2 linked regions of the Drosophila melanogaster genome follow. Changing the gene in region 2 together with the main gene of any one other region gives a genetic interaction. Each region holds a gene or a part of one and is shown on either strand. Other genes may lie near its edges. The genes, in order: l(2)gd1 and Vps39.

Region 1 (6,379 bases), on a different chromosome or scaffold from region 2:
GTATATGGCCACAATATTTCTGAGTCCCGAGGAGGCGGGTCCAAAGATGACAGCCTTTCATCACAAGTACACGCTAAACATGTCGATAGCGAATGAGTCGGCCTTCGTCACCGAGCTCCTGGTGCCAAAGGAAACGGATCCGTACTACATATGGCAGCAAGCTGGAAGTCCGGCTTATCCCAACGCCACTCTAAGGGAAGCGATGCGAAGAGCCCAAGCACCTAGACTCTACAAGACGGGACCCATCTGGCAGTACAACAGCGAGCTAGTTATCAACTCCGCCAGCATCCCACTGCCCTGGGCGATGCTGCTCCGGGTGTGTTCCGCATCTTGGCCCAAACTGCGACGACCGCAGCAACTTTCCATCGCAGAGGTGACTCAGCGTGAGGTGTTCATTAGCTGGATGGAACACCCCAAATCCACGCAGTGCCTTCTCAGCTACGAGGTGTGGTTTAAGGAACGCGATAATCTGGGTCGCTCCGCCGACTGGATGCTCATCTCACAGGGCTGGCATCTGCCATATCCGTCGTTTCAGTATGCGCCCGGCGATAAGGGATCCGTCAATGGTGAGCATAACCTGCAAAATTTCCATCTTTCATAACCGAAATCTTTTTTTGTCGGCAGGTTTCTATAAAGTTCGCGGTGTGGATGTGTTTAATGAAACCAGTCCCTACTCACAAATAGTCGAATATCTGGAGTTGTAGTTCAACAAACAGTTTATAAATCAAAAGAAAATATTTATGCAATGTGAAAGCTAACATAATCAGGTTTCGGCTAGGCGCTAGTGGACCGATCCTACTCTCAATCTGTCTCTCTTGGAATGGACTGACTTCACCGGCACAATCTTCTGGACTTGCGCCTTCGCCTTAACGCCGGCAATATCATATATACATATATTATTTATATATAAAGATATTTATAGTACATTATATGTGTTGTGTTCGTAATATATAAATGCCTTCTTCCTGCGAAGGAATCGGCAAAAGCGTACATACTTAGATAAATTGAATTTTCTGTGAGGGATATTTACAAACAAATAACTTAGTGACTTAATCGAGAACAATCGCAAGGGGACGCGTTCCTATTTTATTTAAATTTTCTTGTTTAGCCCTAGGCATCCAAGACCAACCACTTTTCGGTGATGTGCTCCATTTGCTTGGTGAGAATAGGATTGCGAACGCGTATCTTGACTTCCAATTTTCCACCTACTTGCTTGCGACCATCCATTAGCTGTTTTAAGGAATACATAGGTTAAATTTAAGTTTATATTATTTTATTATAGTAGTTATCACTTACATCATATGTGTCGTGTATCTCGCACTTGGTCTCCAATGGCTGCAGCTTGACATTTACGGTTCCGATCAACGTATCCGATCGCAGAAAACCTCTGAAACAACACAGGGGCAGTTTACGACTTAGTCCACAACAATCTATACTGCAGCTATTTATATTAAATGCGTAGCATTGGATGACATTTATTTTTTGTTTGAATTGTTGGGAATTGAGGCGTAAAAATTTGTAAAAATATTTCATTAAAATGTTCCTTGTGAGAATCAATCAAGAAGATCAATGGGTAGACACATACGGTGAAATATATGTGTGCTTGAAGCCGTGACTCGTACGATACTGTTTTACGGGACCAAAGGAACATGCTTACTACGGGAAAAATTTAATAATTCAAATTAAGAGCTGAAACTTAATATTAAGAGCAAATTAATACCCAAGCGAAACCTACAAATTGGATAAAAATATTTAGTAGGTATGCAGCTCAATCAACAGCTTTTTAAATTTTCGCAAAATGATCTATGCCAAATATTTTTTAAAATTATATATATATTTTTATTTAAGTCTTTAAGGCTATTTCAAAATGTAGAAGATTACTACTCATCGGATATTACTAAGTATTCCTTGGAAAATTAATACGCGTAAATAAGATCATATACCGCCTCCGTTAGTTGAGATTAATATGCATGGAAAGCTTCTTAGTACGGATTAAATAATTGTTCTAGCTCAGTTCTTTTATGTACGGGCAACTTACCCTCTAGAGTATATTTCAAACTTGACGCCATGCCGCTTAAAGATTCTCTGGAACTGACGATTGGTCCGCTGGATGTCAACCTTGAAGCGTTCATCGTAGTCAGGACTGCTGGTGTCTCTGATAACATTGGTTTTAGTCTTGAAAGATTCATCCTTAAAACGAAAACATATAAATAATTGGTGAAACTTTAAATGTTGGTAATTAGCTTACATTGAGCAGGGGAAACTCTACGCGCACATAAGTATCCACGTCCTTGGGATTGGCCACATTGTAGCTGATTCCCCGGACCACAACAATTTCAAGCTCACTGTCTGTGAGATCTGTGTTGCAATGCACAATGTTGAAGCTACGCTTTTCATAGTGAAACTTTGGCAGTGGTTCATTCTTTCGTTTCGAGTATCGCACCAAATCCAAATCCTTTTGCACAGTTAAGGCTAAATTTTCAAACCGATTCATGCCTGCTACATCTCCCATAGCTTTGTGATGATCTCGCGTATTTTTGCACATCATCAGTTGTTTTGCCAGCTGCTCCTCCATGCGAACACCAATTTCACAGATATCATCTGTCGGATCGCATTCCTCAGCAGATACAATGGCAAAGGAGGCTTCTAGATTATCCCTTTGTGAAGGCGGGACGGGAAGCTGAAAAAAAAAAATATATAGTTAGCCATACAAGAAGAAGATGTAATGCAAAACTTACAGTGCTGAGGTCCACTGGCAATCCACTACTCGCTGCATTAAGAAGGGAATCGAATCCCTTGAAGATCTTGAGGTACTCCTTCGCCTGATCTATTTCTCCCGCTTTTTTGGCCTCTATAGCAGCTAGCTTAAACTCCTTTTGGCGCTCGAGGAGCAGTTTCATTTGTTGCTCGGCAATATTATTCTTCTGCTGATTGCCAGACGTGCGTGTTGTTAACTCTTTGGGCTTAGGAGGTGAAGGTGCTTTTCGAGGAGCTGTAGGTGTCGTCGCACTGGAACTGGAGGGTGTTCCTCCTGCGGAAGTACTTGCTGTTGGCGGTGGAGATGTAGGCGAAGTGGGCAGCGACGGTGTCGGCGCGACAGGAGCAGCATCAGCCGTAGGCAGCGGTCCAAAACCTGGTGGCACAGGCAGCTCATCGTAAGGCACTGGTTTGCCTGCCTTGTACAACTTTATGGCATCTTCGTATTGCTTCACAATCCTTCCAAAGCGTCTTGCTTTTCCGCTATTGTTTTCTGCCTTGGCTGCCGCTTCTACAGATTGATATTTCTCTAAACGTTGCTGCAGAGCCTCCAACATATTTGTTGCAGCTGCTAGAACAGGAGCAGGAGCAACAGGTGTGGGTTCTGGGGCAGCAGTAGGTTCTGCGACAGCTTCTGCGGCTGCTTCTTCTTGCATTTTTTTAAGGAATTCAAGAAACTCAGCTGGTGGAGGGGGCATGTCACTCAAATCAACTTCCTGTCCGTCTTCACACATTTTTATAACTACGTCAAATTGCTTGACCACTTTGAGAAACTGAAGGGCAGTAGATATGTCACCACTGCGCTTAGATTGCAGTGCAGCAGCTTTGTAGTCCGTCTGGCGGCTGCGCATTTGCGTCACAAGAGGATTAGGGGGAGATGTGGGAGCCACAGATGTAGTGGGCTCCACGGGGGTGCCGGGGGTTGGTGGATCTGGAGCTGCACGACTAGGCACAGGCGGAGGGGAAGCAGGTGTGGAAGGAGCTGGTGACTCCTCTGCAGGCACTGGAGGAGCCTGCCCGCCAATTGGCTTTACACTGACTTCAGGTGGAATGTCATCCACGTTAATGGACTTGCCAGCCGCTGCCTGCCTGTGCAGATCTTTCAGAGTCTTAAGGCCTCTTCCAAATCGCCTTGCTTTGCCAGAATCGCCGGCAGTCTTGGCATTGGCCTCGGCCTGCTTGTACATTTCCAGGCGCTGTTTGATAATGCTTAATGTGTCCACAGTCGTCGTGGGCAGAAAGGTCTGGACGGGTTCCTCAGAGGCAGCTGGCGGTTGTGCGACAGGCTCCTCTTCCTCTGCCTCCTCTAGACCACCGATTCCGCTCAGCTCGCCAAGAAGATCCGGATCGCTTTCCAAATTGTCATCATCATCATCGTCGCTGACATCACGCAAGCTGTCGGCTATCATTTTGTCCAAATCACTGGCGGGTAACAGCTTTGCTTTGGGCTTGGGCTTTGGCTTGGCTCCTTCTCCGCCGGTTATGGCCGCAAGCTCTGCCTCCAAATCACTGTCACCCCCATCGTCCTCACCATATCCAGCGCTGGGATCAAAATCATCTGGGATTTCCGTAAGACCGAACTAAACACAAAAAACAAAAAAGACAGTCCAAACGATGAGTCATAATTAATAAATAGACGGATCTAGACTGTTTGTTTTTCCTCTCACCTGCGATAAATCGTGTTGCCTTCTTTTCGCTGGCTCTGGCTTCTTTCTGGAGAACATCCTTGATTGCACAGAGGCTGTTTATTAACTAAAATAAGTCTATAAAGACTTTCAAATCCTTTAAATTTTTGCGTCGCAACAGTTCAGCCGCAGACAACAATAACAGAGTGGGGATCACTGTGGTGCAACGAAAGGTGACGCAGGAAAGTCTTTGCGAATTGGTGACGTCAGTGGCACAGGGCTACAGGAAATTTGTTGACGGTTAAAAAAATATCGTTAAAAATAATGAAGAAATGATTTTTTCTTCATTCAGCAACATTAAATTTTATTATAGTTTAATCCATAATGAAATATAAATGAACATGGTAAGCCACCTTACAAAACATCAATCCTGCGGAACTAAACTTTTGCCGGTAACTAGGGCTGCGAAACGCTAACAGGTACAGGGCTGCCGCGCCAGCTGTCTAATCGAATCGATACCGCAACCTATCGATATCGAGAGCCAGCGCACACACAGTGCAAAAGAGTTTGCGAAAAAAAACCTGGACAAAAAGCCAAATTGATTGTGCGCCGAGCAGCTTGAGGCACTAGGTGTACCCTCGTCGACCAGTGCCGTGAATCCTCTAACCATCGTGGTTGTGGTGGCACCAAGAAGTTAGCGAAACCATCGTCCCCGCAGTTCTCCCAGCTTCCACCTCCTCCAACTCCGTCTTGGGGGCCAAAGGCAGAAAATCATCAGACTTCTGGTTGTGAGCAGCGCGGGGCAGCGGGGTCGGCACTGGCCTGCTGGGTTAAACGTGGAAGTAAACAAACGAATTGGATTCCGGGTCCAGGACGGACGAACGGGGCGTGGCTCGTTAACCAGCGGCTTGGTAAACGAAACCAGAGACGGCAACAAGTAGGCGACAGGCATGGACGTGTCCCTCACTGAGCCGGAGACGCGCTTCTACAGTGAGTTGTTCCAATGCTGCGACGTGGAGAAGACAGGCAAGGTGCCCATGCTTAAGGCCACCGAGCTCTTTCGCTCGGCGGACATCGCCAATGAGACCGTGATTGAGGTAGGTCCAATTTGTGTGATCGTGAGTGATTAATTATCTGGGTCTGGGCTTATAGATCACCGGTCTGGCGGGGATACCCTCCACGGCGCTACACATCTCGCGGACACAGTTCTACTCATGCCTGAAGCTAATCGCTGCTCATCAGGCGGCCATGCCCCTGCGCCAGGAGCTGATCTTGGCCACGTTTCCGCTTCCATTACCGCACTTTAGCTGGAAGGAGGCGGTTACAGCTCCGGTGGCTGTCGAAAATGGATTGACTGCCTTGCCACCGCCACCACCCACAGATCGCAGAAATTCACTGCGTCGTAACTCGCAGCAAGAGCAGCTGCAAGACACCTCTGATGTGCCCAGCACCGACTCCGAGGTTGAGCAAAACGAATCAGTGGACGATGCGACAGGCCATGGACGAGGTACGGATGGCTGTGGGGTCGTCAGCAGCAGCAGCCGCGAAAATGTCGGGGTTTGTACTTCTATCTTATCTTGTGACATTTGTAAATAAGCTTACCATTGACCGATCCCCGTCCATGCCTTATCTCTTTTAGCGACGACGAGGAGGCGGTACTGGTGGTGGATCGCCAGAAGCCTGGAGCACTAACAGTGACAGCCCCACGCCCACCAACAGCGTGGCTGAGCGGCCTTGGGCGCAGGACACCCTCTGGCAGGGTTTGCTGGGCGACGAGCATCGCCAGCTGCTAGGCACGGAGGAAGAGTCTTCCGATCGCCACAGCAGCGACGACGATGACAACGAGAGCGAATTGGTGACCATTTACCAGATAACCCCGGAACAGCGCGAGTACTATAATAAGCAGTTCAGGACGGTGCAAAGGGATCCGCATGGTCTGCTTTCGGGCCAAGCAGCAAGGTAAGTTGGCTTTAGGAACGTTTATAACTTTATTCTTC
Region 2 (5,614 bases):
AGAGCCTGCAGCAGCTCCACCAGCAACACCACGCTCAGCAGCAGGCCACCCTGAGCTTTCAGCGGGAAAAACTCAAGTCGGGTAAGCAGGTGTTTCAGTCGATGAATAACCCATGATTTGATCATAAGTGGGTATTAAGTAAACATAGTGTGTGCACATCTAATACCTCCATTTGATCATCATTTTGTGATTCGGCAGATTCTCACAAGAAGAGCGCACTGAAGAACAAGCGCGTCCGGACAATCTTCACGCCGGAGCAGTTGGAGTGCCTGGAGGCGGAGTTCGAGCGCCAGCAGTACATGGTCGGCCCGGAGCGGCTCTACTTGGCACACACCCTAAAGTTAACGGAGGCTCAGGTGAAGGTGTGGTTCCAGAATAGGCGGATCAAGTGGCGCAAGCACCACTTGGAACTGACACAACAACGGCTGGCATTGATAAGGCAAACTCAACTGCCAGGTACATCGTTATTGGGCAATCAAGTATCCGTGTCGGCCAATGCGGCCCATTCTGTGTCCACGGAACGCACAAACGGATGCAGTGCAGCCTCGCCCAGCCTGCAGGAGGAGGACAACGAGGATAGCAAGCACTCGCTGTCGCTTTCGGGCGCATTACCGCCGTTGAGTCGAGCGCAGTCCGAGTCGGATTTGTCCATCTGTAACGATTCCCTGGACGGCGACAGCCTCATGGACGGCAGCGAGGAGGCCTAAAAACCACGCCAGTGCAAAGCAAGTTTCCTGTAAATATAGTCAAATAAATATGTACAATATCGGTTTTCTATACTTCTGCTTGTCTTTAATTGTTGATGATTAGCTGCAAGTTGATTGTTACAATCAATCAATGCAAACTATATTATATTGTATAAGCATTGCAGTATATCCATTACATACGAGTACTGAAAAAGCTTATTTAAAAACAGAATAATACAGACATTTACACTCAATTCGCACTTTATACCTTGATCAGTTATCACATTGGAGTATTTCACTTATTGCTGAGCAGCCGCCCTGGCGAGCCGATCGTGGCAGGATAGGTGCACGATGTGCCCATTTGGATAGCGCACGAAGGCGGACTGGGTTTGAAAACGCTTCTTGCACTCGGAACACACACTAGACTCGTTTAACTCGAAGCTAATGTTTCGCTGCTCCTCCAAGGCATTCTCCAGGCGCGTGGACTCTGCCTCCAGGAAGCCGCACATCATCTGCATCTCGTGCTTGTCGGCCATCATTTTACGTATAGATTTCTCCAAGTATTTCTCCAGCTGGGGCATGGGCATGTCATCGGGAAGGTGCTGCAAAATCCAAAATGGTTGAGAAATATTTCTAATAAGTCATGCATTCAATGCATTCTTCACCTCGAAGATCTCGAATGGATCGATTCTGGTGGCGTGGGTGTTAAGTATTTCCAGGGCCACCTCTCGATTCACTTGCGAGAAATCCGGATGCAAGGGCACACCATCATAGAGCGGTTGAGTTGGTGGTATTAATATGCACTTAATGAGCGTGTGAAATATGTGCTTGTCCTCTTTGTAATGGGCTTCCGCATAGGCCGTTGCCTTGGCCACATCTCCGAGAACATGAATATAGATGGACAGGACGTTGTCGTGCTTTTTGAGCCTGCCCAGGATTAGGGCACGCTCCTCCAAGAGTATATTGGTTGGAAATTCCTCTAGGAGGCGATCCGGCGAATAGTCGTTGGACTCCTCCAACATCTTGTAGAGCTTGGCTCGCATCGGAATGAGTTCGGGAACTTCCTCTCTAGAAAACAGGTGAGTATAAGCATTTTGATCCAGTACAATGACAGACTCTCACCCTTTTTCCTGCTGAGCAAGAAGCCGTTGCACCTTTTCGCGATACTGCTTGAGGAGCACATTGTGGAGCAGGGTGTTGCCGTCCTTCCATTCAGTGATTACGTGCTCCAAATAGGGAATGACAAGTGCTTTGTGCTTGCTAATAAAAAAATCAAGAACTTTGGCGCGCGGCAGGGATTCCACTTCAATAAGTTCGTCGGTGAAAATGGTTAGGCCTTCCTCGGGATTATCGTTTAAGACCCAGTCAGCGAACTCAAAGATCAGCGGCAGATGATCACCACCCAGCTCCTGAAGATAGCGTATGGTACGCTTGCGACCCTGCAGCACAGATCCTTCGATGCTCGCCTGCTCTCGAAGCAGTTTAAGGGCCTCCTTGTGCTTGCCCTTCATCTGGTAGAGGATGATAAGTTCAGAGATCTTGTTGTGCTTCTTCAACGTCTTTTCCGACTCCTCTAAGTGGCACTGGTTTAGGCGTAGCAGTGGTGCCACCAGAGAGTCGTTTGTCTGCAGGTAACACTTCAGCAACGTTGTATCGATGATCTCCAGCAGGGACTTTGAACTACTTTTAGTGTCGCGCAGCTTGACCACCTCCCGCTGTCGGGCCCATGCCAGATACTCGATCAGTGCCAAGTAGGCGTTCTCCAGGTCGCTATCCTCAAGCGCCGGAGTACTGGACGTAGGCACGGTGACATCTTCGGTGCCGGGCTTTGGTTCTGGCACCAAGTTTGGGAACAGTCTTATCACATCGTAGGGATCTATAGCCGCCTTTTCAAACTCCTTCATGGCCGCCGAGAACTCCTTATTGGTAAACAGCTCTTTCGCATAGAGCATGTGTATCTGGCGAATGGTTTGGGCTCGGTCCGCGGCAGGTTCATCGGAGATTTGCTGAACATAAAGTTTGTTGTAGTCGTCGTATTTTGATTTCGTTTATCGGACTCACCGTCAGCTCAATAGCCAGTTGGAATTTCTTTTGCTGTAGCAACTGCTGACGCTGGATAGGGATTTCCACCATTCGAATGCACCAAAGCTCGGAGGTGGCGGCGGCAAAGATGGTTCCCTTGTCGGCGTGAACCAGGAATTTCGTCTTCTGTAGCTCGGGAATGGTCTGGACCAGGGTGTCCTTGCCCACTAGGCTGCGCACCTCGATGGCGTTGTTGACACGACCCACAGCGAATGGCTCATCCCAGACTGTAATGAAGATAATGTGATTTAGAAATTGGCTTGAAGTGAATAGTGAGTATCGTACCCAGATCTAAAAGCGGACTTGACCAGAGCAGAGGAGTTAGGGAACTATTGCTGTCCATGGCAGCTGGCCGGACATCTGTTGAGTTATTGATTCCATCCGATTCTTTGTACTGACTCGGATCTACTACGACGAGGTAGCTGTCCTTAGAGATGCCCAACATGTTGTTCCGGATAAGGCAAATGCAGGGATCTCTGCTGATACTAGAGGAGGTAAGGAAGAGGTTGTGCTTCTTTGGTGCTTTTCCTGATATCTAGAATTGGATATGCAGACCTTTAAAATACGAAGTAAATCGACTTTAAAGCATTTCTCACATCGTAAACAACATATTCGTCTTTGAAGCCCACGCAGACAGCATGGCCCACCCAGCACAGTGTCCTGGGCACATCGCTGAGCTCGATGATCAATTCCAGGGAATTAAGCTTGTCCTCCTTCCAAAAGAAGAACACAAGACGCCGCCGGATAGCGCAGCACACCCGTATGACGGTGGCCACACGTCCGGTTGTGGACTTCGGCGTGTCCACGTCCATGGTGAACAGGGTGCATCCCTTCGTGTCGGGCGCACTGTGCATGAAAGCGAAGTTGCTCTCAATCCGCCGAATGTCGCACACCTGCACCTGTAAGTCGGTGAGTACGAAGAGCAGGTTCTCCGAGGCAATCACTTCCATTTGGGTGATCGGTTTCCGGCTGAAGTTCTTGTTGAACATCCGCATGTCCACGCCCGTCTCCTCGTCCACAGAGTACATGATCAGCTGTCCGCTGCGGGTGCCCAAGATGACATGGTTGCCTGAAAAAATGCGTCCGGTGAGTAATAGCTGTGCACCGAAAATTCCACTCACCATATGCCGCAATTGACTCTATCTGCACGCCCTGTTTCAGGATCGAGTGAACACTGTAGGCCTGGTGCATCTTGGCCAAGTGGAAAAACTTCGGTCTCCTCCGCCTCAATTTATTTTCGTAAAAAAGCTTATAAACAAACCAGATGGGAGTACCACTAATGATAGCTGATGATGATAGATATCGATAGCTTTAGCGGTGGTAAATCGATTTCTTCCTCTTATGGTGATAGCGAAATAACTTAAATATACAAAGTAGAAAATAAAATTTGTACATGTTATAATTTAAGATTCAATCGCTAATGACTAAAAAGTTGAGTGAAATTTTAAATTACGATACTTTAAACGAATGCTGCCAGACTCTGCATTGCTGTCGATAGCACCAGTTCGATATACTGGTTCCCCGCGAAACCGTCCACCTCTAGTCCTTTTCACTTTAGCGAGGCGAAATTGTCACATTTACATTTGACAAAATTGTAAGTTTTGAAACAACTCTGTCGCTTTATTTCGGGTTGAATGTTTTCATTGCATTACTACCCACCCAGTGAAGTCGTTGAGTAACAGTTTTACCCCGTTCCCGCTCCAGGGTCGCCAACAAGCCCGCAGACAGCAACAACATCGAAAGTAGCTGCACAGCAACAACAGCAAACAGCCAAAATGCCCAAGAATAAAGGAAAAGGAGGCAAGAATCGTCGTCGTGGTAAGAACGAGAACGAGTTCGAGAAGCGTGAGCTGATCTTCAAGGAGGACCAACAGGAGTACGCGCAGGTGACCAAGATGCTGGGCAACGGTCGTCTGGAGGCAATGTGCTTTGATGGCGTCAAACGCCTGTGTCACATTCGGGGGAAACTTCGCAAGAAGGTGAGTGCTGCTCTGACTACGCTCTTTGTTTCGCCTGTGCTCTCTTCGCTTGCGTTGAGTGGGTGCCCCTCTCTAAGGTGGCTCTCTTAAGCCATTTTGGCATTGATTGCCAGCGAATGCTACGTATTTACGTTATTGTTTTTGTTGAAATGCAGGCAGTTTTTGTGATTTTGGGGGATTTTGCATTACCCTGCTAACTTTCGACCTTTCTATACCTAATTTTCAACTCTCTTTTTCTGCAATTCTCTTTTACTGGTCCATTATTGAGTGGGTGTCATCGTCCTTGTGCGAATGCATTAACAAAAGAGCAGTGGGCGGTGTGGACGGGGCGGCTGATTAATAATACGCAAGTGCCTATGCACTGATGTATGTATGTAGATGAAAGCAAAGCAATAGCACTGCAAATACAGGGTGACCGCCGATACTTAATTCTTTCAAATAATTCGATTTGAAATGTAAAAAGGCGTAATACTTAAAATAAGTACTATTCTGTCGAGGTTATAGTCAATTTCACTTTACTGTCTACTTAAAACCATATGAAATTTAATTTTATTGATACAATATATATCATTTTAAACAATAGAAGTATGATATATCATATAAGTATATATATATATATCATAAGAAGTATGATATATATAGTCAGTTTTCACTTCAGCGATTCTGAAACTAAGCTAGTGAAAAAGTTTTGCTACGCACTTTTTTTTTCAATTTTTTCATGGTAGTACACCTTACGCAAAATTTTGCGTATATCTTTTGCATTTGAATTAGCTATTCAGTTACATGTTTTCAATTGCGAATACAGCCTCCTTTATAGCACTAATTTGGGTGGTCAAACTGCATTCCATGAAATACCATACGTCCGCA

What was found.
Region 1: of Vps39 (region 2) and l(2)gd1, changing one suppresses a phenotype caused by changing the other (phenotypic suppression), as found in Drosophila melanogaster (one study listed by BioGRID).

The regions. Positions count from the first base shown.
Region 1 is NT_033779.5:11,105,167-11,111,545, reverse strand, and holds l(2)gd1 (lethal (2) giant discs 1), read right to left. Parts: upstream 4,604-6,379; 5' UTR 4,482-4,603; coding exon 4,425-4,481; intron 4,338-4,424; coding exon 2,739-4,337; intron 2,681-2,738; coding exon 2,249-2,680; intron 2,191-2,248; coding exon 2,039-2,190; intron 1,442-2,038; coding exon 1,297-1,441; intron 1,231-1,296; coding exon 1,111-1,230; 3' UTR 705-1,110; downstream 1-704. Other genes in the region: Idua (alpha-L-iduronidase), read left to right, coding at 1-566, 625-704; Reps (RALBP1 associated Eps domain containing), read left to right, coding at 5,333-5,479, 5,535-5,939, 6,022-6,341. UniProt on the Drosophila melanogaster protein: Phosphatidyl inositol monophosphate binding protein involved in endosomal protein sorting through regulation of the endosomal sorting required for transport (ESCRT) pathway.
Region 2 is NT_033777.3:18,270,395-18,276,008, forward strand, and holds Vps39 (vacuolar protein sorting 39), read right to left. Parts: upstream 4,053-5,614; 5' UTR 3,960-4,052; coding exon 3,890-3,959; intron 3,838-3,889; coding exon 3,365-3,837; intron 3,304-3,364; coding exon 3,054-3,303; intron 2,996-3,053; coding exon 2,748-2,995; intron 2,693-2,747; coding exon 1,809-2,692; intron 1,755-1,808; coding exon 1,352-1,754; intron 1,289-1,351; coding exon 986-1,288; 3' UTR 795-985; downstream 1-794. Other genes in the region: CG18599 (uncharacterized protein), read left to right, coding at 1-81, 199-707; eIF1A (eukaryotic translation initiation factor 1A), read left to right, coding at 4,544-4,747. UniProt on the Drosophila melanogaster protein: Part of the homotypic fusion and vacuole protein sorting (HOPS) tethering complex involved in endo-lysosomal vesicle trafficking and lysosome biogenesis.